4 linked regions of the Struthio camelus genome follow. The protein of the gene in region 2 purifies or fractionates together with the protein of the main gene of each other region. This does not show direct contact. Links are inferred from orthologs where the notes say so. Each region holds a gene or a part of one and is shown on either strand. Other genes may lie near its edges.

Region 1 (7,646 bases), on a different chromosome or scaffold from region 2:
GGCCAGGGATGACATCAGTGTTTCCTTTAAGAAGGCCAGCAGTAAGTCCACAGTATATGTCTGAATACACTTGGATCAAACATTTCCTTTTCTCCTCTTTTTCTCTTTCTCTCTCTCTTTCTCTGTTTCTTTCTCTTTCTCTCTCTCCTGTCTCTCTCCTTTGCTCTCTCTCTCTTTTTCTTTCTTTCCTCTCTTTCTATCTTTCACTGATAAATTTACAGCTACAATTGTTACACTGGAAAGATGACACATGGTGAGTAAATGTGCCTGGGGTCATGGAAAAGGCTTTTCAAAAAGACATTTCTTCATTTCAAAAGTCCTTTTATTACTCTAATTGTTTTATTAAAAAAAAAAAAGGCTCAAAGTTCATTGATTTCACTTGCCAGTTGTGGGCTAGAGACCTGCCCTTGCTCTCCCTGCGGCTGGCGGTAAAACATCCAAGCACTGACTCATCCCTGCCGCGATCCAGGTCCCATACCGAAAACAGAAGTTCTTCGTATTCCCCCTGTAGTGAGATTAACCCCGAGGGCTGCCTCTGCTCCTGCTGTTTCCCTGCAAGGCCCTTACTGACTTTGTTTCGCTTTGTCCTGGATACAGCACAGTTAAGAGCCGTATTTCTGTAGTTCATCCAGTTACATCACTGGGCACCTTGCTGGAAGGTATCTCCGCATCCAGCCGTAGAAATGGCATAACACCGCTGGGAATCATCCGAGTATCGGACCTGTGGCATCAATAGCACAGGCATCTACTCTTTTAGCTAACAGAATAATTCCATTAGCGAGCCCCATCAGTACGCCGTTATCCTCTTAGGTGGATTTTCTGCTCATAGATGGAGCACAACACAATAAAACTGGATTAGAACAGTGGCAAGATTAATATAAAAAAACAAAGAGCCAAATGTTAAACATTATTGATGTAACTAAGGCAAGACTGCATGTTCAAGCTAGTGGTAACACTTCAACATATTGTTTTTAGAGTATTTTTTTAAAACTTAATTGAGTTATATGCTTTACAAAACAGTAAAAATAATCTAATTGAAAATAACATCTTTGGACTTACAGCACATGAGCTAAAATAATCTCAAAAGACTTTTGCATATAAAGTGTATAGTAGCTCTTAAAGTAAGGAAAAATAAGCTGCAGAATGTGAGCGTTTGCACAGGAAGTTTCTGATGGTGAAGTGTTATCACAGTAGAACGACATCCAAAACGCAGCTCTGAGGCAAACAATCAATATTATGCATTTTCATTCTGTTGCACAGTGAGATTGCCCAGATGTTCAGCAGATTTTTGCTGAGGGAACAGTTCTGAAAACTGCTTAACAACAGTTTCAAACTTTTCTGGCAGTGGGCTGGGTTGGGTGTAGGCTGCTGCTGTGGCTGTGCGCGCGGCAGACTGGCCTCCGTCTGTCCTGGCATTTTGACCTCAAGCGCTGGACATTTTGTGAGGGCTCCAATCAATGCACCTTTGATAGCACTGAGATTGCAGAATGAACCCCTGTGATTTCAGACTTTAGTTCAAGTACTTTAGAGATTTTTAAGGAACTGTAACATTTGTCCCATCCAGCTTCAGCCTGCCCCTGTCCCCACACGGCTCGATGGTATCTCACGCAGTTTTAACATGCGCAGGCCCCTTGCTCAGGCTCCCCTCTTCCATCAGGTGTTAGATATTAAAGATGGCAACTGGGATTCTGGTTAGGTGGTAGGCTGCAGGGGAAGAGGCAGGATAAAAACGAGTGTTACTGGGGATAAAAGGGAAAGGGCATTGTGGGGAAAAAAGCATTAGAAGTATTTTGCAGGAAGCTAGGAGACTGACGTGTGGTGAAAAAGAACAGTGGGGTTTATAAGAATTGCATGAGAATTTTTGCAAGTAAACATCTTCCTTCTGGGCTCTTAACAAGAAAGAACATGTACAGTACAAATACAGTACACCTCTATGCTAAGGGCTAATACTTCCAAGATTAAACTGAAGGAAAATGATCTAATTTAAATTTTAAAGCTGTATGAGAAGAAAGTGAATGCGGAATACCTTAAATACGGATAATGAGGCAGGCCAAAAAAGGTGTGTTGGGAGAGCTCATCTGTAGTAACAGTATCTCCGGTTCATTTGTCTGACCTGCGGGGGCCACTATTGATCTTCAAACCGTCCAAGAGTCAGAGGACCTGAAATATAGTTTCTTATTCTGCACTTTACATGTGTGAGGCAGAGACACAAAGTGGCGGACAAGGGAAAGACATTCAAGCTGGAAACGCTGGAAAGGGGTTTAACTCCTTTAGCGGCAAGACCATTTTCTTTTGGGCCGGCACAATGTCCTCGCAGTTCTCCTGTTAAGTCCCTCAGAACGATGACGCACGTTAGCACCAAGACTAAGCAGAATGAATTTATGCATGGTTGGGGGAAGGAAGTGAATCTATTTTCGGTTATTCTGGATTCACTCACACTGACTGAGATCTTGCTGTTGGAAGCTGTGTAACTAGCTGGCATGTTAGTGGAATACTACAAACAGTGCAGTTTGTAGCGTGGGGAATGTGGATAGGGAGGAAAAGCTTGAACAGGCGGACAGGAACGATAAGAACGCACAATTAAGTATGCGAAGTCTGGACAACAGAATCTGTAAAATCTGCCAGCATCCTGAGACTCAGATTGAGTAGCATTTTTCTCACCTTATGCAAACCACTGAGTTTAACAGGCAGAAGTCTGTGCTGAATTTTGGGAGATAGATCAGAAGAAAAGAGCTGTATTCTGCTTATCTTTCCCTGAGGCTTCTGTGTTTTTCAGCTTGCAAATAAATTCCTACAAAGCTATAAAGGATTGCTCAAGAGATCATTTGAAATTTAGCACTGAAATCACATTTATAGTAAGTTCTGGCTAAGTAACAGGAACGTGGCATGGCATGAAAGAGAAGAGTATGCATTCCTGAAACCTACTGAGCAATCCCCTGTGATAGATAGTAGGAGACTGTAATTTCCTAAGACAAACGTGAGGCTGAAGGGTGTTAAGACTCTGGCTTTGGATTTACAGTGTCAATTTATAATGTGGTTTGTCTCATAAAATGGTACTAAATTTGAGGGCATAAACAAAACTGAAGTTAGTTCCTCTTTACAACCCCTTCCCCAAACTGATGTATTTTTCATTTTTCATTTTAATGGTCTCAGATCTCAGTTTCTGACAGATCTTCCGGGAGACAAGACTTGTCTGTCTGCATAGAAAAGGGAGAAGATCCTGCTGAGGCTACTAGCTGGAAAGTCTGCCACCGCTAATAGAATATTTTCCATAGATGTTTTATTGACACAGTACTTGAGTGCTTGCTGCATAAAAATCAATACCCATAGCAGACTGTGAACTGGAGAGAAAAACTGGGGCTGTTTCTTTTGGAACTCTGCTTTGTTAGAGAGGTATTTTTGGGGGGGAAGAATGCAGAAGGAACTGCTGGTAAAGATGAAGGCTTGACAGATGTATCAGTCTGACCGCAAAAATTTAAATCTTTCTTTTTCCTGATCCAGAGGACATAAGAAAAAATGCACATATGCAGAAATACGTGGTTGGAGTAAGGTAAATTAACCTGTACGGAGAGTCATGCAGTTATGGACAGACTTTACTAGTACCCAAGCACGTTAATTTAAAGGCAGCTCAGGTAATTTTGAGTCATTAATTTTAACCATTAACAAATTTTTCCTTCGACCCCTACTTTTGTCTTCTGTGTTTTTTTAAGTTTAGACAGCATCCGCCTTTGAAGAGTTGTGTACTTTTGAATGCGGCAGTACCACTGGATCCTGACCCGGACCTGCTTTGGTGCTCACTCCATCCTCCAGGTCAAAAGAGCATATTACTAGTGACCTGCAGATGATTACTTTTCCAGTTTAACCACACTGTTTCCTCTACGTAACGCAATAGCGAGGGAGCTAAGCGGAGCTCTTGCTCCCAAGAGGAGGCTCCTTGTGAAGCGACGGGTTGCTGTTGGTGGTAGGAGCGGTGCTTTAGGCGGGAGAGGACTGCCCGGCTGCTGGCAGAGCACAGCTAATTCCTCCTACGCGGGGACGGCTACGAGCTCCGGGGCAAGCTAGCTCCACTCCGTGCAAACCAGCTGAGCGACGACTGCTGCTGCTTCCGAAAACCCTCGATCGTGGTTTCCAACACCAGGAGCTCTGGCCTTGTAACTAAATAGCAAGCATGTTTTTCCTGATGAAAGTTGCAATCGCCTGTTCGTACCGAGCAGCGCTCGCGCCGGCAACGGTAAATCAAGGCGGTTAAAGGAGGCCAAGCCGGAGACGGTGGCTCTAGCCAGGCCTCCGCATGAGGCCCTCGAGGGCAGCGGGGGGCAGCCCGCCCCCCGGGCCCCTCTCAGCTGCGCCTCTCGCTTGGGCTTCACCCCCTTCAACACCCTGGGGGTAAGCGGTGTGAGCACCCTCACACTGGGCCACCAGTAGCCCGGCCGGAGCAGGAACCAGTTTGCACCGGGCCGAACGGGACCGGGCCTCCAGCTGGGGCCTCCACCGCCCGTCCGACGCCGTGGCGCAGACCCCCGCCCGCCCGGCCGCGGCGGGGCGCTGCGCGGAGGAAGTTTGCCCCGCGCGGCTCCCCGTCGGGGGCGGGGCTGGGCGCGCTCGCGCTGCGGCTCGCGCGGCGCCGGGGCTGAGGTGAGGGCCGGCGGCCGCCGCCCGCGCCATGTCGTTCCGCCGCGCCCTGGCGCTGGCCGCCTGCGGGCTGGCCGGCGGCTCCGTGCTCTTCTCCGCCGTGGCCGTGGCCAAGCAGCCGGCCCGCGGCGGCGGCGGCGATGCCGAGCCGCGGCCGGGGAGCGCCGTGCCCGCCGCCACCACCGCCGTGCCCGCCGCCCCCGCGGCGCCGCCGGGTTTGCTGCTGCTGCCGCCGCCGCCGCCCGCCGCCGCCTCCTGCCCGCCGGCCCCCGGCTGGATCGAGAGGCCCGCGGGCACCGGCGGCTTCTGGGACAGCAACTGGGACAGGTGGGCGCCGGGGGCGCGGCGGCGGCGGGGCCTGCTCGGGTCGGTCGCAAGCGTGGAGCCTCCGGCTTCACCGGTTTTTTACACGAGTGACCGTTCGGCAGCCGCTGCCGCCCTCGAGAGGGTCAAGAACATACACTGAAGTCGAGTGTGTGTGGGGGGGGGAGTGCAGCTGAATATCGGGAAGCTGGCAACTGCCTGGTAGTTTGGGGAGAGGAAGGCGGTGCCTGAGGGACTGGGGGTCGGCGGGTGCTTTGCCAAGAGTTTGGGAGGCCTCTCGTTTAGCAGGGAGGCCCTTCGCTCGCCCCCCGAAAGCCGCCGGACGCGCCCCGGCCCGGCGGAGCGAGGCGGCGGGGCTGCCCCGGCCGAGCGCGGGCCGTGAGCTGCTGCAGCGCGGCTGAGACCGCTGAGCCTAGCCCTGGTTAGGCAGGGGAGTGCTCGGGAGGAAGGTCTTCCCCGTGTTTTCGTTTGGACGGTTCAGAGGCTTCCCCCCCCGTTTGAAAAAAAAAAAAAACCGCGCAGATAAAAGAATTACGATAAAGCTATGTCATGAGATTGCAAAGCCTTAGTGCTTGTGCTTATCAAAACCCAAGTGTTCAGAAGGCTTATCTACTTTTTTTTTAACCCAGTGTCAACCTTATTTCAGAGTTGCTTCGTTTCTGCACAAAGGTGTTTCTTTTTAATAGCAACCTCCTTGCGGACTGTTTTTACATACTAGGCATGTAGGAGGCCTGCTAGTTATGTTGACCCTGGCACTGCAAGTAAGTATGAGTAATGTTGCTTTGAGCTGTAATTTGATTATGTTCTTAATAGTGTTGTCTGTGTTCACGCAAGGGTTAACTCTCTCTTCTGATTCTGCACTTAGGATGTGCAAATTTTCTATATTGAGCTTTGGCTTATTCAGCTTCTGGCTGGTAGAATTATCTCCCCAGGGAGACTTATGTCAGGCTCCTATTTAATCATAGTAAATCCAAACTTAAGCACTAACAGATTTCTATTGTATAATGCATCCTGATTTGATTTTTGAGATGCAACAGAATCAAATACACATATAAGTAGGGCTCTGTGTGCCCTAATTATGAAAATCATAGTGACTTTCATTAAATATGGTTATTTCTAGTTAAATGGGTACTAAAACTACTTACTTAATTGTAGATCCTGGTTCTGCTAAATAGTTGGCTTGCTGTAAGGGCAGGTGAACTTTCAGACCTTTTTCTGGTATCTCAATACTCCTGATACAGGGAGTAGAGATTGTGCTATAGCTGATGTAGCTGTCAGAACTGCTTAAACAAATACCAGCTAGAAGACATTTAACAGTACAGTTAATGATAGAGTACTGCATCACCATTCATTACAGTGTACAATAATGGCTGTATATTACACAAATATATTAGTGCAGAGCAAGTTTAGTTTTGTACTATATGATGTCCACCAATTGGTGTGGTACCGCTTGGTACCACCATTTGCTTTATCTGCTTGAAACCTTCTTAGCTCCACTTCTTGTGTGAGGTTTGCAGCAACATTTATAGGTAAATTTGTTAAATACCTAGGCTTATAAATATGTGAACATCTGACCATTTCTCTTTTGGAAAAAAAAATGACAAAGTCAATTCATGAGCAGATAACTGGCTATTATAATATTCTTGTAACAGTTCAGAAAGTTTGAAGTTTTAAGCAGCACAATGCAGCAGTGTCTGCTTTCAAACTTTCTGTTAACCTGATATACTATATCAAAGATGTTGCATTGGTCTGTGCCACTTGTGCAAGAATTGCACAGCTCAGTTTTTGAAGACTAGATAGTTTCATTTCCTGCAAAACACTTAATCTGAAAGCTATTCTAATTAGTTTTCTATTAAATAGAAAGCTTGAAGTGAAGGAAAAAAGCCTTGAATTATTGTCTTAAGTTTCTGTGCTTTGGATGACTTCCTTTATTTTTTGAATGGTCCTTCAAAATAGCTTTATGAGATCTAGAAATACCTGGATTTCTACATATGCTACACACACAAATTGAAAAAACTGTCAGGACGACTGATATGTTTCAGTGACTTGCAGGGCTTCCTGGAGAAGAGGAATTGGGTGTAATCAGGTCTAAAGAGAGACCCTGGCATTGCCATTATGTTTCAGCAAAGTTGTGTCCTGCTACAAACTTAGATGAACTTTGTTAGGGGAATGCAGAAAACCACATTTGTTGGCCTCTGAACTTCAGAGGCCTAAAAACCTATTTAAGATAAGCTTCAGCAGTATTACAAATTTTCCTGCACGTAACTTTCTAAAACTGTTTTATGCTAAAAATCCTGTTAAGCTTAGTTCTCTTCTCAGGGCTTGTTAAAATATCTGCTGCTCTTCACAGCATGTGTTACCATCAAGTAAATTCAGACCTACTGGTGGAGGAGAGAGGGGAGGACCTTGACTGAGGCATTTCTTGTCATGGGTTTATGCCGTAGGATGGATAAATCTCCGCTTTGCTTTAGAAATCCACTTGAATTTTTCGGATATTCTTTCTGTTTTTCTAAGGTATCTTCCTAACAGTATAGTTTCTAATGAATAAAAAAAAGTATTCTGTGTAATTTTAATGGAACTTCGTATTATAGGACTGTTGCTTCATTTTTTAATGCTTTGTATGAAAGTTCTTAACAAAGACCTTTCTTAACAGTTTAATGAACATGTTGAGCCTCTTAGTCAAATAGAAA
Region 2 (7,032 bases):
CTGATCAAGCTGTCTGATGACACGAACAAGGGACCTGCTAGACAGCGTTGATGACAGACTGAGGCAGAACAACGCACACCGCGTGACAAACTAGCACAGGCATGCAATATAAATCTCAATACAAAGTCATATTTTAGGAACAGGAGCACAGGCCATACTCACAGGATAGGCAAGTCTATCCAGTAACTACAAAGGAGTTAAGAGCCCTGACATCAGACTAATGGGAGGGTCCGTATCTGATTCTGTGGCCACCTTGGTAAGTAGAGCAGCCAAAAGGTTGTGTTTCCTGCTTGGCACTAGTGAAAACAGCAGCGGCATTGCTACAGTGAACCTGTAGCACAATTCATTCACAAACCAGAGAGGTTACCTACAGATAACGCAGCATTAGCAGCACATAGCTTAGGAAAGACTTTCTTTCCAACTGCCCTTTCGGCACAAAGAAAAAAGCCTTACCTACTCCATCACGAGTGACCACACTGTTACCTTACCCCAGGTTTCTGACCCAACTCAGACAGCAACAATTTTGATCATTTCAGAGGATTCCATCATTTGGTAGGATAAAGAATGATCAAGAACACAGCAATCAAGAGTTACAGATGTTTGTGGAAAGAGATCAACTGAATAATCAGTGAGGAAGTGACTATAAAGAGAAATAAGAAGATTTTATTGTTAAATATGCAAGCCATTTCTTTTCAAGAGTGCAGTGTTATTCTAAAGGGCATTAAATACTGAAGGGGATGGTTACTTAAAACAATGTACATTCTATCAATAGTTTTCAAAAAGTTTATCTTCTGATTTTAGATTATGTCAAAATCTATGTCATCACAAAAGCCAAACATATAGTGAAATTTAACACAGTATTTTGATTTTTCCGCATTCTCCACAACAGTAAGATACCTGCTTTGAAAGGTGACCAAATTCATCACAGATTTCCACAGGCAGACTAAACCTAGGTCTTTTACACTAACATTTAATTAATTTACAGTAATGTATAATTTGCTCTCTTCCCAGCTAAAATAATATATAAGAGCTACAGTAAAATACATAACATAGTATCTTGTAGGTAAATTGCTTTAAGCTGATTCTGCCCTATCATACCTGTTCTCCATACTAACAAAGTATATTGGAAGTAGATAGGCTTGGTTTACAGTTCTCAGAATAGATTTTTACATGTCTTTACATTAAACTACTTTTTCCTTTTACTAACTTAAGTCCTTGACATCCTCAATATATAAATATATCATTACCTACAAACTTGATATGAGCACTCCAGGAACCTCTGGTTATCACACCAATAATCTCAGGGATGCATAAATGTGTCTGTTCCGTAGCCTACTAATAAGAGCAAGAGGTCAGCTCACAGACTACTAAGTCAGTTCCTCTATGTTTAGCTTTCAGGAAAATTCTTTCTAGAAACTCTGAGGAAGGGCCTTAAACACAATTGAGGACCCCGAAGCATAGTTGGAGGTTCACGAGCGCACAATAAAGTGTCAAATATCCTGTTTAAATTGCTATTTTCTACCATTTGACACCTCCTTTGGAAAAAGCTTTAACAAAAATTGAGCCAGTGGGAAAAGCAAACGCTCAGAAGAACTTGAGGTCCGTTTTCTTCCGAATGTAAAGCTTATGATAAAATTTCTTTTGTTTCTGTTTCCAATCTGCTGCTGACACATCCCCACAGTGCAAAGCAATATAACATTTCCTAGATACAGAGAAAACTGTTTCAAGCCAAACAGCCAAACCAAAGGGGAGGGGACGGACCAGGAGGGAGATGAGGAGTAGGATCTGAAGGAGATGTGAAAGCTAACCAAACCAGGATCTTTTTGTAATTAGAGCAGCGACTGTACCCAGCCTACGATTTTTGAGTTTATACAGCAGCCAGTAGACTGAGCATGAATTAAAGTTGTTGCCTTCGGGCATTACTAGCATCAAACTATTTATTACAAATAAGAAATATTTTAGCCCTGCAAATGCACAATTTCTGCTTTATTTAAGATCATCATGGCTACTAGATGTGCACCTGCACATCTGCAGGATCAGGGGCACAGTCCTGCCATTAGAACAGCCAGCACTGCCTGTTTCCGCTCAAGGTGGGCCCTTTTGCCCCAGGCCCCTTGGGCCTGGAAGCGATAGATACAATTCTTTATTGCTTCACGAAGCAGCCAACAGAATCGTTGACGGTTGTTTCAGTTTTTACTGGATCTCCCCAGCAGCCCTGGACGTTACCGCCGCGCTCAGCGTGGCGCGGGGAGTTTGCCTGGAACACCCAGCCGGCTGACATCAGGCACACCTTGGCGCAGGGCCGCCGCCGACGGCGCACCCGCCTTATCCGGCCCTCCATTGAACAACTTCGGCTCCGCTTGACCCCCAACTCTTGTTTGCTTTTGACGGCAGGTGACGCCAAGGGCTGAGGCTTCGCCCCACGGGGCGGCCGCAGCGCAGCAAGGAGCTGCCCTTCGGAGTCCGACCCCGCGGCCCGCGAAGCAGCCTCCCCCAAGGCGTCAGGGCCCCGCGGCCCGGCTGGAAGCGCCCGGGGCGGGTGCAGGCGCGGGGCCCATGCCGCCCCCGCCGGCAGCGCCTCGCCCTGTCCAGGCCCGAGGGGCCCGCGGCGACCCAGCTCCGCACCTCGCCCTCTCTCGCAGGCCGCGGCGCCGCCGCCTCCCCGCCGGCAGGTGGCGCCGCGCCGGGGAGCGCCGATGGCGGCGGCGGCGGAGTGACGTCACGCCAACCGCCCGCCCGCCGCCGGCCCCACAGAGGCGCGGCCCGCGCGGCCGCCGCTGACAGGGCGGAGCGCCCGGTGCCGCCGCGCCCGCTCGGCCCGCCGCCACAGCCGCCCCCGGCCCGCCGCCCGGCGCTGACCTCTCCGCCGGGCCACGGGCTCCCTCCGCTCCTCGCGCCCTGCCACAACGGCGGGGAGCGCCGACACTGAGGCGAAGCGCATGCGCCGCGCGCCAACCGTCTCCCCGACCCCCCCTTCCCGGGCGGCTTGCGCACGCGCGCTCGGCCTGGGCCGCGCCTTCCCCGCGCAGGCGCAAAGGTTTCCCGCCGCGGGAGCGGTTGCCATGGTGACGGCCCGCCGTCAGCCGGCCCAACGGTCGCCGGCTGCTCGCGGCCCTTCCGCGCCGCGCGTCGGTGGGCGGCGGCCGCTGAGGGAAACCCGCCCCGGGGCGGGCAGCCCCGCCGCCCCCCGCCGCAACCGCGGGAAGAGTAAAATACAGGAGCGCTTGAGCGGGGCCCGCGGCTGCCACACAGGTGAACAGGTCTCAGGTGAAAACATGTAGCAGAGCGTTGCCCTTTTTTTTTTTTTGAAAAGAATTAAAATCCTTGGAAACACGCAGCTGTAGAAGCATATGAATGTTGAGGACATAAAGACGTAACATTTGCTTGTGAGCGCCAAAAACTCACTCCTTCAGCTGCCCGGATAAAACCTGCCCTATACTCATTGGTGGGCTACAAAGCCGCCGCTGAAGACCAATATAATTGTAGTGCTTTGGGGATGTAACGAGCGGTTTGGTCCTCAGCAGGACATGGGTGGCAGTACTGACACGGAAGGTGAGCAGCGCTGTACCTCCAGCTTCCCCGGGCTCCTGGGTCAAGCGAGAGAGCGTTACCTTCGTATTTCGTACTTTTTACTACCTGGGGTCGAAAAGGAAAATGGATGTCAAGCTTTCACACCGCTCAGTCCAGGCTCTGAGATCTCATACTGAATTTTAAACTCTGAGCTGTGTTCAAAAGCAATTTCCTCCAGGTGAGCAGTTAGTTGTGGCTAAAGGTCTTCAGGTAATCAAAGCACCAGAGAGGCAGGGGGCTTCTTCCTACGCTGGGTTTCCGTTCTCAGTGCAGGTTTCTGTGTCGGAAGCGGAGTTTTTCCTTAAAGCTTGGCATGGATGCAGTAAGACCCAAGGCTACTACTAGGTAACGTTTCTGAATGGGCATACAGACGTTTGACAGCCACAGCGTCTTCCATATGCTGCTAAGGACAGCCCTATTAGTTTGCTTCAAAAACATCAAGTACTTTACTAACAATAATGCTACTAAATGTAAGCATCCTGATGGCTCCTTTATGTGCATCAGCATTTATTTTTCCGTAATTACATCTTGATCCCTAAAATTTGACATTACCACAACAATTTGACACTGTTATAGTCTTGCCAGTTTGGAAATTTTCTAGGGAAAAAAAAAAAACTACAACTTTTAAAACAAAATGAGCTACTGAGACACCATATTTTTTCAGTACCAGTAAAGCAATTTAATTTTTAATCCATGCTGAATTCAAACAATTTTAGCTTGAATGTTAAGCAAAAAGCAGCGCCCTTGGTGATTTTGGCAAGATTTAACAGAATATTTTATGCAGTGAATCTCCCCAGGAGACAGAATCTGCCCATGTCCGCATGGCAGAACCAGAACCAAAACTGATATGAAGAAATCCTTTGGTTTGTGTCTTTCAACACGTCTGCTAGTTTATTCGAGTCCTCTCTCAAGTTGCTACGCTTTATGGGAATTAGAAGCGCTCTTAAGAAAATCCTGCAATAACTTAGAAGCAAATATTGCACAAACATACTGAAAATACTCCAGTTATGATGTCCTGAGACATTGCACTGGTTCCACGATTACTACTAAGCCAGGTCACAGTAACTTTTTGTTGCACGATACCATAAATGCAATTCTTGAGCACCAAACGTTTAAAATAAAAATCCAAACTAAGCATTAGAGAAGCAGGGAATCTAATCTAGAGGGAGCACTAAATTATGCCAAACAGCCTTACTTTTGCCTTCATATTCTTACCTGTGTTTTCAAATAGATGAAGTGAGGCAGGGAACGAGCAGGAGAGGAGACCCTGACAAATAGCCCAGGTAAAACTCAAGCTTTCTGCAAGTGCCAGATCGCGTTCCTCTCCTCCCAGCTACAGCCATAACCCTTGCTGGTATTGAGCCCCGAAGTCTGTGTCCTCTTTGATAGATGCCATCGAGGTAGGCGGCAAGAGGACGTCAAGCGGTTTCTCCACAAGAAGCCAGACAGCCTGCAAACCCTGTCCGCACCTGCGATCCGTGAAATTGCCCAGCAGCGTTACAGCAACTGACACTGAACACAGTGAACATGCACCATCTTCAGCTAGAGACCAGCCTCCACGCCGCTGCTGCCAGACAACACTGCGACCTTGATCCCTTCTATTGCATTTTTTTAAAAATCTGCACTTAAAAAGAACCAGCTGAATTGTGGCATTTTTATACAGGTAAGCTCCAAAGCACAGAGATTTGACAATACCTACTGCTTACCAAACTGGTATCTATTTCACAGGACATTTCTATGCCTCTAACCATTGCTGAACGGCAACAAGGACATGGTTGCTACAAAAGGCTTTATTCACTATTTGGAACTTAAGAATATCTGGAAGATGCAGCCGCAATAACAGGTATAGAGAGAGGAAGGAGCTCTCCCAAAATCACGCAGCTGCTCAGAGGCAGGATATCTGATTCCCTATTTATGTAGGGGAAGATAGCTGACCTACGGGACTTTCGTTAATAATCTTTTTAAGAATTCACTTTTTCTTCCCGTTAAGGAAAAGGTCTGCATCAGAGATGACCGACCGGCCCCCAATCACAAAGTCTTCTCTGCGTTGAAACAGCAGCCGCAGCTCTCCCAGCTGGTGGAGTTTGTGGCTGTTCACTTAGGGCCTGCCAGCACAGCAGGGCTGACCAAGAGGCTGCAATATCACCTTCTGGCTACCAGAGGCCCCAGAGCCTCCGGAGGGCAGTGGGGCTGGAGAGGGACAGCGACTCGGGGGTAAGGGTACACACGGTTCCTGCCAAGCAGGCAGCGCTGGCTCTCCTGGCTCAGTGCAGGGAGCTGGGAGACAACAGCTTCCTATTGAACTTCAGCCAGAAAAAAATGGCTAAAAATGGTTTGGAGCAGTAACACGGGACAGGGATGACGTGCTGGGCTGGCAGGGCTCAAGAACTGAAGAGGTAAGAAAAACACAGACTAGTGGAAGTGAAGCCACTTCTACAGACATGCCTAAAGCATGAATGTAGGGCCCCAGTGCTTTAAACTCTGCCATGAAAATTTTGACTTAATTAGAAATACACACTATTAGTACCCTCCCATTACACAGTTATATAGGTGCAGAGAGATCCTTGAAATAGCAACACTTCTGATATATGTTGCAAAGGACAGGATATTTACTATCATGCTTTATTTTTGAGCTTTCTCTCTAGATAACTATGATCGTGTTCAGTATAGTCAGTATTTCCAATATTAAAAGTATTTTAAAAACAGCTGGGCCTGAAGTCACAGTGCAATGCTATTTACACTAAATATATAAACATATATATATAAAAAATGCACACATTGTAGATCATCTATACATATACACATGTATCCCCAGAATGCTAAATTAAGCACATCTTAAAATTTGTGTTTCTCTCTGCTCTCTCTGCTCAGTGTGACAAGCAGTTCCCCTGATCTATTATAAAGACTTGTAACTCTGGTGGCTGTTTGGCAACTTCAGACTAACTTTTTGAAGCTTCCAATACAAATTGGCTCAGTCCAGGTCAGAAACCATCAGAGAAGCAGTGAAGGGGCCTAGTTTAATAACAGTGGATGGGAAGACTGAGTAAAGTTTAGGTTTAACCTGCCCTTCACAGGATCTCATGAGCTTTGACCATGTTGGATGATGGAGCTCAGCACAATGCTCTGTGCACTGACTCTCTTGAAAGGACAAAGCAAGCAACAATGCAGCATTTTCCTCGAGAATAGTTATCTTTTTTCCCTAAACTGTGAACTTTGGGATGGTGCATGCCAGCATATATTCCTGTCTCCTCTTGTAAACCTGCCAGATTAACTGCACATTCCCGTTCCATAAGTCACACAGCACAAGTTAGAGAGGATACACTTCCAATGAATTTGTTATAAAATAAATTTTTTTCTCTTGTTCTCTTTGACAGTGAAATCAAATACAATTTCCAAGAAGAATCACCAGCAATCAATAAGGGCATTGGGCATTAGATGTGTACTAAAAGTCTCTCTAAAAAC
Region 3 (7,466 bases), on a different chromosome or scaffold from region 2:
AAAAGACAAACAAACCAGTTTACAAGAGTATATACATGCAAACTGTTAAGGGTGGCTCGTCTATTAATTTTGAAGAACAGAAATGTCTTTTGGAACCAAAGAAAGAAAAATCACGACCTGATAGAGAAAACTATCTCCTCAATACACAACACATCCCCAAATCAGAGACCCATAGTAATCCTCCTTGTGTTTCATTATAGGAGACAGTCGTCTAGGGCAACAGTTCACAAAGGAAGATTTGCAGGCTGTGGCTGTTACAAGAAGGGTTACAGGCATGGCAGAACCACACTTCTTTATATTATTATTTGTGGCTCTAAGTCTTGCACAAGTAGGGCTTCCAAGAAGAAACATTTGGGAAAAAATTAATCTAGTGACTAACGAAATAAGGTTGAAGGATGACAAACACCTAGTCTAAAAGGAAAAGCACGGATTGCCATATATTACTCTAATACAACAGTGTAGGTATGGCAATAGTGCAGCCATGAGACCTTCCAGTACCATTTGCAGTCTCAAGAAGCTAGGAGAAGCTGACTTAGTTGGCATGAAATAATAAAAATCCCACATAGGGCAGCAATTAACCCTCCTCAAATTATTAAATAACAGTCGAGAATGGAGATAAAGACGGTCATTGTCAAGCAAGAAAGCTATCTGAGCCCAGCCTGAAGTAACTGCAACTGAGAAAGAGAAACCAGTGATAACAACATCAGCACTAAATCAGGAAAATGTTTCCCTAAGGCAAGGGAAACAACAGAGTTATTCTGAACGTTTCCTCTTTGGTATCTATCATGTGCATCTGCGAAACGAGGCCAAACTGTGCAAAGGATCTGGATCATGAGGAAGAGGAGGAGATGTATTAATTTAGTCACTTAAAAGTGTAAAGCAAGCTAGGAATTCAGGTCACCACAGAGTCTGCTCAGTTAGAACTGGTCAAGGTTGTACAAAAAAAGTTAGCAGTGCAAAACGAGATAACTGACTGAGGAACAACAACTGGTAAAGAATAGAAAATTTTGAGCACGTGAAGCTGTGTCTAGTTCTGGCTTCAACCATGATTTGTCACGTGGCTTTCACCAAGTCACTAATCTCATCTGCTTCAGTTTCCTCATCATAAAATGGGTATTTCATTATCCACCTAATAACAGGATGATTGTGATTAAAATTTGAGTGCCAAAGAGAAAGCAGTTTTACTTCATGTATTTCCCAACAGTAAAAAGACAGCAGGGCTCGGGATTATCTGGATTCAAAGGAATCAAATAATTATATGGTCAAACAAAAGTTTTAGATGGTTACCATGGGAACCATTACATGTCCTCAGAAGGACAATGAATGGCAACTTAATCCTCTTGTATCTAAAAGGAGAAAAATGCATGAATAGCAGTGGTCTCACGGTTGGTCACCGCTGCTCTTCAATGTATTCGGTCCTGTTCCTCAAGATTCTTGCTTGTCAAGGAGGAGAAATCCTGCATGGGTGCCCCCCCCCCCCCAAACAAAAGTGAAAATTACTCTCCTTGTACTTCTGCATTCTACAAGCTTTCTACTTACAGGATTCTCTGCGTAGTGAGGTTCAGCCACTCACACATCCACTTCCCTACAGAGTTTTAGGATTATCTTCTGCAAGATTTTTCTTTTGTACATTTTTTCCTTATAGACATGTTTTACTTTCTGTTGCCCACTTCAAATGAAAACTAGTTCATCCAAGATCTTCACCATCTACTAATGTGAGAAAGCACTGTGTGGAACCTCTGGTAGGCTGCACTGCCTATAGGACGGATCAGCATGAAGAAGCCATTAATGGTACAGGGACTGGCCTGTCATTATCCTCCATGCCACTCCAAAAATTCTCCTCTTTCCCCTCCTTTTCCCTCCCCAAACCCATGGCTTATACAATCGCAGGTTTTATCCTAGGGAGCTAAATCCCAGAATGAGAACCCAGGAATGAGAATGATGTCCGTACGTGTATGTGACAACAATGTTCTGGCTTTAGTAAACCTCTAACATTCTCTTCCAACTTGAATGAGGAATAAATCTTTCTCTTTAAACTTACAAGATTTTGTTTGCTCTCTTCCCAGTTTTTAGAAGAAATTGGTGAAGCAATGATAAAAACAGACTGGATGATGCTGGCACTGCAGACTTGGTCAAGTAAGGTAAATGGTGCAGAGAAATAACCCTCCAGAGCGATAAACAGCACTCAGCCAGTGCTGAGTCATATCTTTCCCTGGACAATAGCGCACCTGCTGAATCATATTCCTTTTTGGGTTTGGGAACTTTCCAACTCTTCTCCCTCTAAGGTAACACTGCTTAAATCAACGTTACTTAAATAGTAGTGAAAATAATCTGATTTTACACAACATTTATATTCCTCTTCAAAGCATGAAACATACATTTACAGGGAACAATGACAGAAAAGGCAGGGAATATTCAATAGGTTTATGGCCAGTTTTAAACCTTTATTCTCCATTACAAATACCTTATCCCACACCTTCACAGCATCCCATCAGTTCCTACAAACTCATTTCTTTTGCAGTTTAGTCTTGTATGACTGGTATCAAGTGAAAGAGTTAATACGTTCAGAGATATGAACAAAATCGCTTGTTACATTTTGTGTTGAGCACAGTGAAGAACAAAAGGAGTAACTCAAAATCAAATGACACCAAAAGACTGTATTTTAACGCTCTCAAACCGTAAAAAAACAAGGACTGTTTGAATGACTTTTCTGCAATTATTCAAAATCAAGTCTGACATATCAAACAACCTTAGACGTTCTGTCCTTAGCAACATTTTCCTTAGGCATTCTTCAATTACAGATGCCCCACTCCACAAACAACTGTCTTTTCTCACAGACATACAAGAATATAGAAAACTTATTATGCCTGAGGTATAGCGACCCATATTAATAGAGTACTCCCAATCACACCTTATTAAGTTCAGCTTTGTATTGCAAGAGCTGGAAAACTGAGGCTTATAAACCACAGAACAACTGCTAGCACCCAACTCCAGTGTGCTTTGTTGTACTTCTGTAGCCTACTAGCTACAATTCAAAACAGCTTACAGACAGACAAGTTCAGCTCGGGGAGATTCAAGACTGGTAACCAAAAGAGCAGGATATGTAAGCTTCGCTATCTGAATTCTTGGAAGACACAGAATATACCAGAAGTTTGAGATCAGATGGCACAATACACTCACATTTAAGGTCACATTTTTTCTTCTCTTGAAATATTAGAATACTTCTACATACAGACATTACCCCTTGCAACTTGGTAAGGGCATTTGTAAAGTTTCAGTAATACGACGCTACATCCTGTTTTACACTTATATAGTAACCATCTAACAGCGTAGGAACTTGAAATGACTTACAGGGAGATGTGGTGTGTGATAAAAGATTTTCTTCTACCTTCTTCCTTATATAATTGCGTAAAATATGATTTTGCAAAATTTTGTGATCCAGGCAAACCACGTCCATTTATTCAAATAGTTGGATGGCTTGCTAGAATCTTACAAGCACTGGCTCATCCATCATTCCAGAACGGTTCAGAATTCATTACAGTCACATAGGGGTGGAACCCACCCTTAGTCTGAGCAATTGAAATTCCAGCACAGCCATTCCAGGCCACATGCACTGACATAAAGACAGGAAACTGAAGGCTGAAAGGAAAGCAGAGAACGAAGGAGCAGGACATTCATCCCTAACGATACCCATCAGAATTCAGATACCCATCAGAATTCACTACTGTTTGCGATGCAGAGACTGCAAGGCGCAATATAATGAAATAAAACCCCTTGTACTGAGAGCATGGAGAGTTTCAACACAGAATCCCGTAGGAGTCTGCGTTCTCCCTGTAGGCACTACCACCGGAGGGTGGCAGACAGGCGGCATAAAGCAGAACGGTGTGCTGGAGAGAAAAACTGGTCAAGGAGATGACCTCCTACATAGGCCCCCTGGCCTTTCATGAAAGAGAGGGAGAGAAATCCGGCCTCAACCAGCTACCGTGAAGGAGCACTCAGACGCTTAGGGGGAACCCAGCAGGTTTAAAAAAGCATGAGAAACGTCACCGTTTTGCTGCTTTTTGCAAGCAAACGGTCTATCTACCGCCTCTTTGCGGCCAGGCTTCCCGCACTAGGACGGAAAGGAGAAGCAGCTGGGGGGCCCGAAGCGCTTCCCGACTTTCCCGCTGCCATCACGCAGCTCCCGCTGCGGAGCGGCCCCCCGGCCCCGGCTCCTGCCCGGGACCTGCTCCGTACTGCCGGCCTCAGGCAGGGCCTAACCTGGCCCCACAGCCCCGCCGCCGCGCACGGGGTGGGGGGGGTGAGAGGGAGGTCGCCAGCCCCCTGCCAGCGCCGCCGCGCGGGCGGCACCGCGAGCGGCGGCAAACGGGCCCCGCCGCCACAGCCGGGGCCTACCGGGCCCCGCCGCTCGCCGCCCCGTTCCCGTGGCAACGCCGCAAGCCTCGCGAGAGCGGGCGCGGCGGAAGTGACGCGGCGGAAGGAGCCCGGGCACGTGACGCAGGCGCGGGGATTCTGAACGGTGGCGCGCGAGGTGAGGCTGCGGCGGCGCCCGCGTCCCCATGGCAACCGGGGGGAGCGGCGGGGGGGGGTCTCGGCGGCGCGGGCAGGGCCGAGGGAGGCTCCGCCGGTGCCACCGGGGCGCCCGGGTGCCGGAGGGTGGGCGCAGCGAGGGGCGCTGTCAGGGAAGCGGCCCTGTCCTGGGAAGGGCCTGTGAGGGCCGCGGGGAAGCACCGGGGTCCGGCCCCCCCGGGGAACGTGAACGTGGCGGCCGGGTCCTCCGGTGAGCCCGCTGCGCCGGGCCCCTGCGCGCCCCGCCCGGGCTGCGGAGCGGATTTGCTGCTAACGTGTTAGAGGCCCCGATTTTGTGAGGGGGAGACGGGCCATTTCGGGCGCTTGTTATGCAAACGAGCATCCGGCTCATTGCTCGAGGCGCTGTCGGGCGCGCGGGCTCCTCCTAGCGTCGTGTTACTGCAGATCACGCGCATGCCCTTAGTTTCAGGTGCCTTGCGGAAAACATGCCTAAGGTTACTCTAAATGGCATCACCGTGGATTTTCCTTTCCAACCGTACAAGTGCCAGGAAGCGTACATGGCCAAAGTGCTCGAGTGTCTGCAGAAGGTGAGTGCTGGGAGGTGCCGGCGGCGTGCTGCTCCTTGCAGCCAAGGGGCTCTGGCGCAGCAGTTTTTCCTCTGCTAAAATTTAATTCTTGACTGTGTTACAAGTCAGATCTACAGCAGCTTAGTTCCTAGGTGTATCTTAGTTCATTTACTACGCGTATCTCATTTCTAGCTGTGAAAAGGGGTTCCTTAAAAAAGGAGTCATGATTCAAGTTTACTTCTTGTTGTCTGTATACTGCCTTTTTCAATTTTTTCTGATTTTATTTGTAATTTTATTTTAGTATACAGTTATTAAAAACCCAGAAATGGGCAAGTGTTGTATCTCTCAGTAGAAATGAGGACAGGCTATTTCTGCCTAATGTGGGAAAAGGAAGAAAAATTAAGGAAGTAGTTCTTATGTTCGTGCACTCTATCCTTAGAAGTTTTGCTTTTGTATTGTTAGTGAATTGTACTATTAGTGTAAGTTGCCCTTCTAGCTACGATAATGTAATCTTACTGAATGAATGTCAAATAAGGAATGGTTTTTACAATAGTTATTTTTGTTCTGGAATTGGTAAACACGATCTCCAAGGTCCTTGCTTCTTCTGAGAGATGAAACAGAAGCTTAGGCTTTCCATGATAGCTCAGCATTCCTCAGGATCATAGGCAAGGGCTTGGTCCTTCTCATGTGGTAGTAAAACTTATATAAGCCTGTTACATGAATAAATTCTTTTAGTGTGCTTACCATGATTTGTCTCAGCTGTGCAAGCTCACCTGTTATTTATAATGCAGTTTGTGAAAACACTTGGAAATTGGAATGTCCAGTAGAGCTAGATATTTAGAAATGGACCTGCTTGCCAAACTTTCTGCTGAAACTATGTCTAGATTTTGTGATGCAGGATATAGTCATCGTTCTAGGGAAAATAAGCATTCTATAATCTAAGAATCAATTTCTATTTTTTGGAGTAATTTCTAATATTTGTGTGCCTTTTATGCTGAAATGTGATGCATTCTATTTAGCAGAGGCATTTTCCATCCTTATAGTAAATAAAGGATAACAGTTGTCTCTGGATTTTAGCCTGAGTTTCACTGAGCTGATTAGAGGTCACAGGTCTTGCATGTAAAAACTTTGTGGGGTATGTGTTTCTGTCATATGGTATACTTTCCTGCATAGTGAATTCTCTTTTACTGGGAAAATGCTGTACTGCACGATGATCTATTCTAGTTGAATATCCAATATACTCATTTTTTTCATTCTATTTCTTTTCAATAAAGAAGGTAAATGGCATTCTGGAGAGCCCTACAGGCACAGGAAAGACACTGTGCCTTCTGTGTTCCACTCTGGCTTGGCGGGAACACTTTAAAGATACTATTTCAGCCCGCAAAATTGCACAACGTATGAACGGAGTGGAGCTCTTTCCTGACAGACCCATGTCATCCTGGGGCAATGCTGCTGTGGATGCTGATGTCCCAGGTAAGTACGTTTTATCGCTCCCACTGAGCATAAAATCAGGAATGTTAATGAACGCTTTTGACTTTACCTATCTCTTACAATGAGTATATAGTCATAAAAGCTATGGAAGCATTGTTTGGCAGCTGAAGCACAATTTCGTACTATTTCATAGGTTTTTAAAGGTGTCTTATGTATTTTTAATTTTCTTAGAACATTAGAAATCTCTTTAGCTCATTTCTTTTGTGTGAGTAGTTAGATGATAAAATTTCTTGCTGCCTCTATAAAACAAATTGTTACAATGGCACCACAGGGAAGGGAGACTAATGATATCTTTAGTTCTTTCTCTGCTAATAATTTTTTTTTTCCTCTCTATGTAACAGCTTATTACACTGACGTTCCTAAAATAATTTATGCCTCCAGAACTCACTCACAACTTACGCAAGTCATTAATGAATTAAAGAACACAGTCTACAGGTAAATATGATTATGATACTGCTTCTATCCCAAGAAAAAGGGGAGGAACCCAGCTATTTCAATAAGTATTTGAATTTGTGTGGATGAATGTATAAAACAATTGATACCGACTGAAATGCAGTTCTCTTAATGTGCATGTATAGAACCTGGATTTCTTTGATTTTTTTTTTTTTTTTTTTTGTGATCCCCCCCCCCCCACCCCCAATAGTTCACAGCTTTTCTTTTCTTATCATCTCCTTCTATCTTAGAATTTTCTGAATTCACTCTGGTTCTGGTTCTCCACTTATATTTACTTCTGAAATTCCAGGTGGGAGGAAGCGCGGAGGATTTTTTTTTTTTCCCCTATCTCCTTAAATCCTATAAGCTTTTTCTGAACTTGAGACAAAAGAATTCATTAGATTGCTGTGGGTTTTTTGGCTCGGGGAGAGTAAATTTTTCCAGTTT
Region 4 (7,930 bases), on a different chromosome or scaffold from region 2:
ATGTGGAAAAGGGGACAGGCCACTTGGGAGGAATATAAGGGCACTGTCAGAGTATGCAGGGATGCAACCAGGAAAGCTCAGGCCCATTTGGAATTAAATCTGGCAAGGGATGTCCAGGACAACAAGAAGGGCTTCACAGAATCACAGAATCGTTTAGGTTGGAAGGGACCTCTGGAGATCATCTAGTCCAACCCCCCTGTTCAAGCAGGGTCACCTAGAACATATTGCCCAGGATCACATCCAGACGGCTTTTGAATATCTCCAGGGAAGGAGACTCCACCACCTCTCTGGGCAACCTGTTCCAATGCTCTGTCACCCTCACAGCGAAGAAGTTTTTTCTCAGGTTCAGATGGAACTTCCTGTGGTTCCTGTGGCTTCTCAAATATATCAATAGCAAAAGGAAGACTAGGTAAATTGTGGGCCCGCTGCTGAATGGGTTGGGTGCCCTGGTGATGAAGGATACAGAGGAGGAAGAGCTGCTGAATGCCTTCTTTGCTTCAGTCTGTACTGCTAAGACCAGCCCTCAGGAATTCCAGACCTTGGAGACAAGACAGAAAGTCTGGAGAAAGGAAGACTCTCCCTTGGTCGAGGAAGATCGGGTTAGAGATCATTTGTGCAAACTTGACATCCACAAGACCACGGGCCCTGATGGGATGCACCACGAGTGCTGAGGGAGCTGGCGGATGTTATCGCTAGGCCACTCTCCATCATCTTGGAAAGGTCCTGGAGATCAGGAGAGGTGCCTGAGGACTGGAAGAAAGCCATTCTCACTCCAGCCTTCCAAAAGGGCAAGAAGGAGGAGCCAGGAAACTACAGGCCTGTCAGCCTCACCTCCATCCCGGGAAAGGTGATGGAACAGCTCCTCCTGGAGGTCATCACTAAGCATGTGCAGGACAAGAAGGTGATCAGGAGTCAGCACAAATTTACCAAAGGGGAATCATGCTTGACCAACCTGATAGCCTTCTCGGATGGGATGACTGGCTGGGTAGATGAGGGCAGAGCAGTGGATGTTGTCTGCCTGGACTTCAGCAAGGCTTTTGACACTGTCTCCCATCACATCCTCCTAGGTAAGCTCAGGAAGTGTGGGCTGGATGAGTGGACAGTGAGGTGGATTGAGAAGTGGCTGGATGGCCGAGCTCAGAGGGTTGTGGTGAATAGCGCAGAGTCAAGTTGGAGGCCTGTGGCTAGTGGTGTCCCCCAGGGCTCAGTCCTGGGCCCAGTCTTGTTCAATATATTCCTCAATGACCTGGAGGAAGGGACAGAGTGCACCCTCAGCAAGTCTGCTGATGATACTAAACTGGGGGGAGTGGCTGATACCCCAGAGGGCTGTGCTGCCATTCAGAGGGACCTGGACAGGCTGGAGAGGTGGGCGGAGGGGAACCTCCTGAAGTTCAACAAAGTCAAGCGCAGGGTCCTGCACCAAGGGAGAAATAATCCCATGCACCAGTACAGGCTGGGGGCTGACCTGCTGGAAAGTAACTCTGCCGAGAAGGACCTGGGAGTGCTGGTGGACAACAAGGTAAGCATGAGCCAGCCATGTGCCCTTGTGGCCAAGAAGGCCAATGGTCTCCTGGGGTGCACGAGGAAGAGCATCGCCAGCAGGTCGAGGGAGGTGATCCTGCCCCTCTACTCAGCCCTGGTGAGGCCTCACCTGGAGTACTGTGTCCAGTTCTGGGCTCCCCACTACAAGAGACATGGCACTCCTGGAGAGAGTCCAGCGGAGGGCTACAAAGATGCTGAGGGGACTGGAGCATCTCTCCTCTGAAGGAAAGGGTGAGGGAGCTGGGCCTGTTCAGCCTGCAGAAGAGAAGACTGAGGGGGATCTCATAAATGTGTACAAGTATCTGAAGGGAGGGTGTCAAGAGGATGGGGCCAGTCTCTCCTCCGTGGTGCCCAGCAATAGGATGAAAAGCAACAGGCACAAACAAACACAGGCAGTTCCGTCTGAACATGAGGAAAAACTTCTTCACTGTGAGGGTGACAGAGCACTGGAACAGGTTGCCCAGGGAGGTTGTCACCTTCCCTGCAGATATTCAAAACCCGCCTGGATGCAATCCTGTGCAATGTGCTCTAGGTGTTCCTGCTTGAGCAGGGGGGTTGGACTAGATATCTCCAGAGGTCCCTTCCAACCTTGGCCATTCTGTGATTCTACAGTCTCTTCTGTGAAGAAAATTCTTGGGAAAACCATTTCCAAGAGTACTGTATTGCTCTAATCACCTAGAAATGCAGGCATTGCACTACCCCAAACAGATAAACAGAAACAGAAAAGAGGGTCCAAAAGAGAAGGTTGCATAATTTTTACAGGAAAACTTGCTCTGTGGTTTAGTTACTAGTGAGCTGAACAAGTTAAGGCAGAATGTTTATTACAGAATGTTTTGAAAAGCATTACTCTTCAGATATATACCCAAATGTTAGAGACTGTTTGCAAAATAAACTGCAAAAGCACGTTACTGGATGTTAGTAAGATGTCTAATGCCTGAAAATGGGGAAAAAGATGAACTAAGATGCAAATGAAGAGTCAAGAGTGATAAAGAGTTTAAGAATATTATTACCCTTTAAATCAGGAACTCTTGGATTATCTGGGGAAAAGATGAATAACCGCAAAATTACAGTATGAGAAGAATCAACACTAAATTTCAGTTCAGGTAGGTAATGCTGTTTTATTGAGAATTCATGCAGTTACTAGTTCTAACTATAAAACTAATCACTATTAGGTACTTGTGACTATTTAATCTTCAGCTGAAAGGACCCCAAACACACTCTGCCATGATATAGCAGTGCTTGAAAGAGTTTGCTTCCCAAGAGAGAGGAAAACTGAAATGAATTATGCTACCATGACCAGAAGTCTAAAGGATGCATCTCGTCTTCATTAACTTTTAAAATCCATGTATAAATACTCTACTTAGTATTATTATCAGGATTTTTTTTTAAATGAAAGTTACAAAATTCTACTTACCTTAATGACAAATTTGCTAGATGCCATGATAGTTCAATGTAAACTGGTCCTATAAAAATATCAATTAAAAATGATCAGCACAAGAAAGAACTCAGATCTCTATGCCAAGCGACAAGGATATTTTTCATCTTGTCAATACTAAAAAAAAAACTAGTTGATTTTGTGAGTACTGCTGCTTTTCACACCTTATACTCCGCCAAGGAAAACTCTTACATAAAGAGAATTGCATAGCGACCTATCTTGTTTTCTTTTAATGAGCTTCATTACCATTCAGGTACAGAGCATCCAACACCTGAAAAAGAATACAGAACTATTTTTCACACCAGTACCGAGACACAGACAAACTAACCTTACTCACCCACAAGAAGCCTTTGGGAGAGCAGCAAACTGAACTTGGAAAATTACCCTAACTACTGTCTCATTCTCTGGCCCCTATCTGTATGGTTCCAGCCTGGTTTCTCTTTCAAAGTAATAGCTTTCAGCTAAAATTCCTTTGCATAGCTCAAAGAAAAAAAGAATAAGGAAGAAAAGAGGGAAAGAAAAACACATACACACAGAGATGGAAAAATAAAAATCCTGGAGCTACTTGTTTAAAAAAAAAAAATTAGCATATGAAATAATACTTGCTCTGTTCAACAGAGTCCTCAAACCTTTCATTCTCAGTGAAGCTCAGTCCCTCCTACCTCATGGAAACTCCATCCTTATTAATCTCGGGAGCCTACAAGCAGCCTGTCTATGTCCTATTGCATGCACCTCACCGGCCCTATAGAAATAACTTCCTCCATCATGCTCTCTTAACAGGAACTTTGCTTACTGCTGCTTGATGTTGCTAATTTCAGAATTAAGAAAACCATTCCCTACTTGCAGTTCTGATAACCAGCTGCATCAGAGTTTGAACAAGTTCAAAAACAAAGCAGAGGGTTTTTTTTCTTTTGAAACTATTGTTTCCGGTCAGCTTTTTGACAGAAGATCTACCTAGTATATTTATTTATTTAAATTTTATACTATTATACATATAACAGAAAAGTGACCCAAGCATTCTTTTCTCTGTACAAAAAGAAAACAAATTTCAGACATCCGCTTCTCCTTCTTATTCCAGTGTTTAGATTGCTTAATTTGAGTTACTGACTAAGGGGTACCCAGCTGCACAGATCCTGGCCCTGCCTCAGACCACTCCAGTTAGCTTAGGAAGAATCCATTCACCCTGAAAGCTAAACATGCCCTTCACTGGGTATGAGAGAAAAGTTCCAGAAACTCCTACTATTAAGAGACTCCACAATTAACATAATTCCTGGATCTTGAAATCTGTTCTACTCTCCAGGGGACAGTTAGATTTACAGATTTTATCAATATTGTTAATCACTAAGAACTTTTTTAGATGAACAATAGCCTCCCTCAAATGTCCACAGGTTTTAAGTAGGCTTGCAATTCAAATCATAGCTCTAGTCACCTTCTAAACAGATTTCAGTTTTTTAATTGCCTTTTTCCCAACTTACAACGCAGTTAGGGACACAGCACTGAAACTACTAGGGGAAGATCATCTCTCTCCACAATAATGGGAGCTAAATATTCATTTGTCAAAACATAATACAGTTGCTGAGCGGGAAGAATAGGTAAAAAATTTTCCAGCTAACGCCAAAGAGTTAGGATTCAGAAGAGACATGGAATGGGCTGATGGCACCATTTTTATACCTTTGAAAAATAGGGAATAAAAGGTTAAGATGTATACTGTTTTCACACAGTATGGGACCAAAGGCAACAGACAAGGAAGGGACCTAGACTGGAGAGAAAATCAGGTGAACAAGGGTCTCAGTACGCTGGCAGAAGAACGAGTACCCAAACACACAGCTCAAGCTTCAAAACCAAGGAAGCAGGCAAGCTCTTGTAGCTGCTGCCTGTGATATATGAACTGCAACAGAAAGCACACGGACAACAAAGTTGCCTTTTATGTTCTAAAACCTTCTAAAGAATTAGTTTCTTAATAAGCTAGAGAAGTCGGGACAATTTGGTAAGAGATAGTACAGGAAAAGAATATAAATGGAGAAACACATTCCAGTTTGTCACTGCATACGTCAAGTTACTGCAAATCACTCTGACAGAGATGTCAAAAATTCAGAATATAAGTCAGGTCAGCAAGGTCTCTGCCACGAACTACACTTAAATATTTCAAAATGCAGTCATTATCCCTATTTAACTTCAAAAAATTGTGAAACAGGATAAAGAACCACTGAAGAACTGCATAGCATAGCAGAGATAATTTTGATCTGAAAACTGACCAGCAATAGTTTTGAACTAAACAATTACTTGTGTGCAGTTTTTCCCATCCTAAACACCTAAGTGTTGAGACATGACATCTGAAAACAACTACATGAAAACGTGAAAGCAGCAAGACCACAATCCCACATCCTGGCTCAGAGAAAACTCCCAACGATTTCAATGATTTGCCTATATATAACGTCAATATCCAAGCAGTAAGAAACAGAAATAGTAAAAAGATCACAGTGAGAAGTAAACTAGCTTCTTATCTGTCTCTTTTATGTAACAAAGTATATTACTGTAACCAGATACAAATGATTTTGAACTGAGTTATTCTACAAGTAACTACTGAAAATGAAATTTAATATAATAAAAATTAATGCTTCCACTATGCTCTGAAAAGCTTAGAAACAGAGGATTCACATCTATTGTACCACATCAGCTACACAGTAAGAGTAAGCAGAGAGTAATACAAAGTAAATCAAGTTTTCAAATAAGAGCAACACACACAGAAGGTGGGATGCCATGCCATGCTTTCTGCCACATAAACTAGCATTCTCCCTCACACAAAATAGTCCTAGAAACTTTGTTATTTGAGTAAACTCTGTCAACTTTATTGACAACAATTTCCAGAAAAACAAAGTAGGGAACGGTGCTCTGGACCACTTGGAATATCACATCATTTGCTCTGTTTCAGTTCACAGTGGTAGTAAAGTGGAAGTAGAAGTAAACCTAGTAGAACTACTGTAAGAATCTTAGTAGAAAATAAAAACCTAGTAATGCTTGAAATAGCAGTCGCTAGAACTAGGTTGCAATAGAAGCTAAAACAAAATGGCAGCCAGCAAAGTGAAAACCAACTGAACTCTTCAGCTTCTTATATGGTGCACAACATCATATTACTAGCATTCAAGAACTCCACGGAAGGTGCATCATGCAAAAGTGAAAATCAAATAAAATACATAAAACATCTGTCAAAATACTACAAAACCTGGGTAACTATGACTCTTCAGATTCTCTTAAAAAAAAAAAAAAAAAAAAAACTTGCTTCCAAATTAACAGCGACATTTCAGAGCTTGTGTTTTTTATTTTATTTTAATAAAAGTTTAGTATCAGAGCTTTAATAATAATCCCTAGCTTTCCCCCTGAACCAAAAAGAAAAAAAAGGAAAAATAGGAAAAACAGTGGCAGAGAAATAACAACCAAATCTTAATTTGCTGTGGAGTATACCATCAACTAAGAGCTCCTGCAACAGCACCAGCGATATTAAATAAACTTTTAAAATATTTACACTGAATGACCTCTACCTTGGAATATGGTTAGCAAAAGCTCAGAATGATAGCATGCAAGGTAGTTTACCATATCCAGCCCAGAAAATGACATACATAGGAGCATAGGCAAGCTCCTATGTTCCTGGAAGCACGCGGCACATGACTCACAAGGTTGCTGCAGGCTTGTGAACTCAAGGACAATATTTGGACTGTTAATGTTTTATCACTAATTCTTACAGTAGCGATGATACGAATAAGAGTTGCAAAAAAACATACCAGAACATTACCTCCCCACCATACGCTCATGTCCCTCTTGAAAACAAACAAGACATGGGGATGAACCAGCTGATATTATTCTGGCATCACAAGACTTTCTTAGCCTAACTTTGCCACCCAGAACACTACTATTGCAACAAATATGCTACTGCAGTGAAAAAGGAGCTTTGGCAGACAAAAATTACTCTCCAAATCCAGTTTACAAAACTACGGAAGACAAAAAGATGTGCAAGGAAAATTGTCCTTGATTCAATTTCCACTGCATGCGAGTAAGCCAATTTTCTGACTACATCATCTTCTTCACTGGCAGTACACAGGAGGCAAAGGAAATACAGAAGACATAAAAGCTGTAAACCAATCTGTAAAACAACAAAAAGAATATGCCTAATGTGTCCATCAGGAAAATCACAGATCTGTCAGAGATGAAAAAAGATCAGAAACTCAGAGATCAAAAAGAAACCTAATAACAACAGGGAATGAGAAAACTACCTATCACTTTTACAAGAAAAGAAGCCGGCAACCCATGGAAAACTTAGCTTTGATATTTTCTATGTTGCAAAAAACATGAAAGGTAGCGAACTACTACAGCTGCTACTGTTTGGTGACAAAAATCTGTTTCCTAGAATACCGTATCTGTCACAAACTAATCTAAGCCTGAAAAGTAATTTGGGCATAAGGAAATGTGGAAATAAGCAAATACACTAGAAAAACTCCTCTCAGAAATTAGTCATATTAAAAAAAAAAAAAAAGTAAAAAAGAAGTCTAGACCTGGTATTTCAACACTCAAATTTCTGATGGCCAACCTATACAAGAAAGCAAAATCTAGGATTAAACACCTAGGTTCCCTTTAGCAAGAGTCAGACATGTTTCAAAAATGATGCAGTCTTTCTTTCCTAAATTTGAGGTTAAGTGGAATGGTGGAAACTCAGTAGAAGGCAGGAGATATGGCCTCTCAGAGAGCTAAGGTGTTTTTATTTTCTTTTTTTTTATTCGCTTAAATCAGCTTGTGAACAGTATCTTACCTTTGCAAAGAAGCTGCTTCCAGCGCTGAGGGAATTTGGAACTCACTGGGAATCAGGAACTGAAAACGCCAGCCACACAAAAGCCAACTTCTAATACTTTGGTAGCACTGCTGCAAACTTTTCACATTCTGCCCATTTTTGGGTGTCTTTAT

What was found.
Region 1: the proteins of SLX4 (region 2) and PGAM5 purify together in Homo sapiens (affinity purification with mass spectrometry; 4 studies listed by BioGRID and IntAct, with this or other methods). This does not show direct contact. The link is inferred for Struthio camelus from reciprocal best matches to the Homo sapiens genes SLX4 and PGAM5.
Region 3: the proteins of SLX4 (region 2) and RTEL1 purify together in Homo sapiens (affinity purification with mass spectrometry; 3 studies listed by BioGRID, with this or other methods). This does not show direct contact. The link is inferred for Struthio camelus from reciprocal best matches to the Homo sapiens genes SLX4 and RTEL1.
Region 4: the proteins of SLX4 (region 2) and SLX4IP purify together in Homo sapiens (affinity purification with mass spectrometry; 6 studies listed by BioGRID and IntAct, with this or other methods). This does not show direct contact. The link is inferred for Struthio camelus from reciprocal best matches to the Homo sapiens genes SLX4 and SLX4IP.

What each region holds. Positions count from the first base shown.
Region 1 is NC_090958.1:11,689,498-11,697,143, forward strand, and holds the start of PGAM5 (serine/threonine-protein phosphatase PGAM5, mitochondrial), read left to right. Parts: upstream 1-4,634; 5' UTR 4,635-4,663; coding exon 4,664-4,959; intron 4,960-7,646. UniProt on the Homo sapiens protein: Mitochondrial serine/threonine phosphatase that dephosphorylates various substrates and thus plays a role in different biological processes including cellular senescence or mitophagy. Modulates cellular senescence by regulating mitochondrial dynamics.
Region 2 is NC_090956.1:18,640,897-18,647,928, reverse strand, and holds the start of SLX4 (structure-specific endonuclease subunit SLX4), read right to left. Parts: upstream 3,015-7,032; 5' UTR 2,860-3,014; intron 1,336-2,859; exon of another isoform or gene 1-1,335. UniProt on the Homo sapiens protein: Regulatory subunit that interacts with and increases the activity of different structure-specific endonucleases.
Region 3 is NC_090959.1:18,012,961-18,020,426, reverse strand, and holds the start of RTEL1 (regulator of telomere elongation helicase 1), read left to right. Parts: upstream 1-4,464; 5' UTR 4,465-4,531; intron 4,532-4,993; 5' UTR 4,994-5,015; coding exon 5,016-5,117; intron 5,118-6,370; coding exon 6,371-6,569; intron 6,570-6,928; coding exon 6,929-7,022; intron 7,023-7,466. UniProt on the Homo sapiens protein: A probable ATP-dependent DNA helicase implicated in telomere-length regulation, DNA repair and the maintenance of genomic stability. Acts as an anti-recombinase to counteract toxic recombination and limit crossover during meiosis.
Region 4 is NC_090944.1:129,058,785-129,066,714, forward strand, and holds the start of SLX4IP (protein SLX4IP), read right to left. Parts: upstream 3,006-7,930; 5' UTR 2,984-3,005; coding exon of another isoform or gene 2,957-2,983; intron 2,580-2,956; exon of another isoform or gene 2,553-2,579; intron 1-2,552.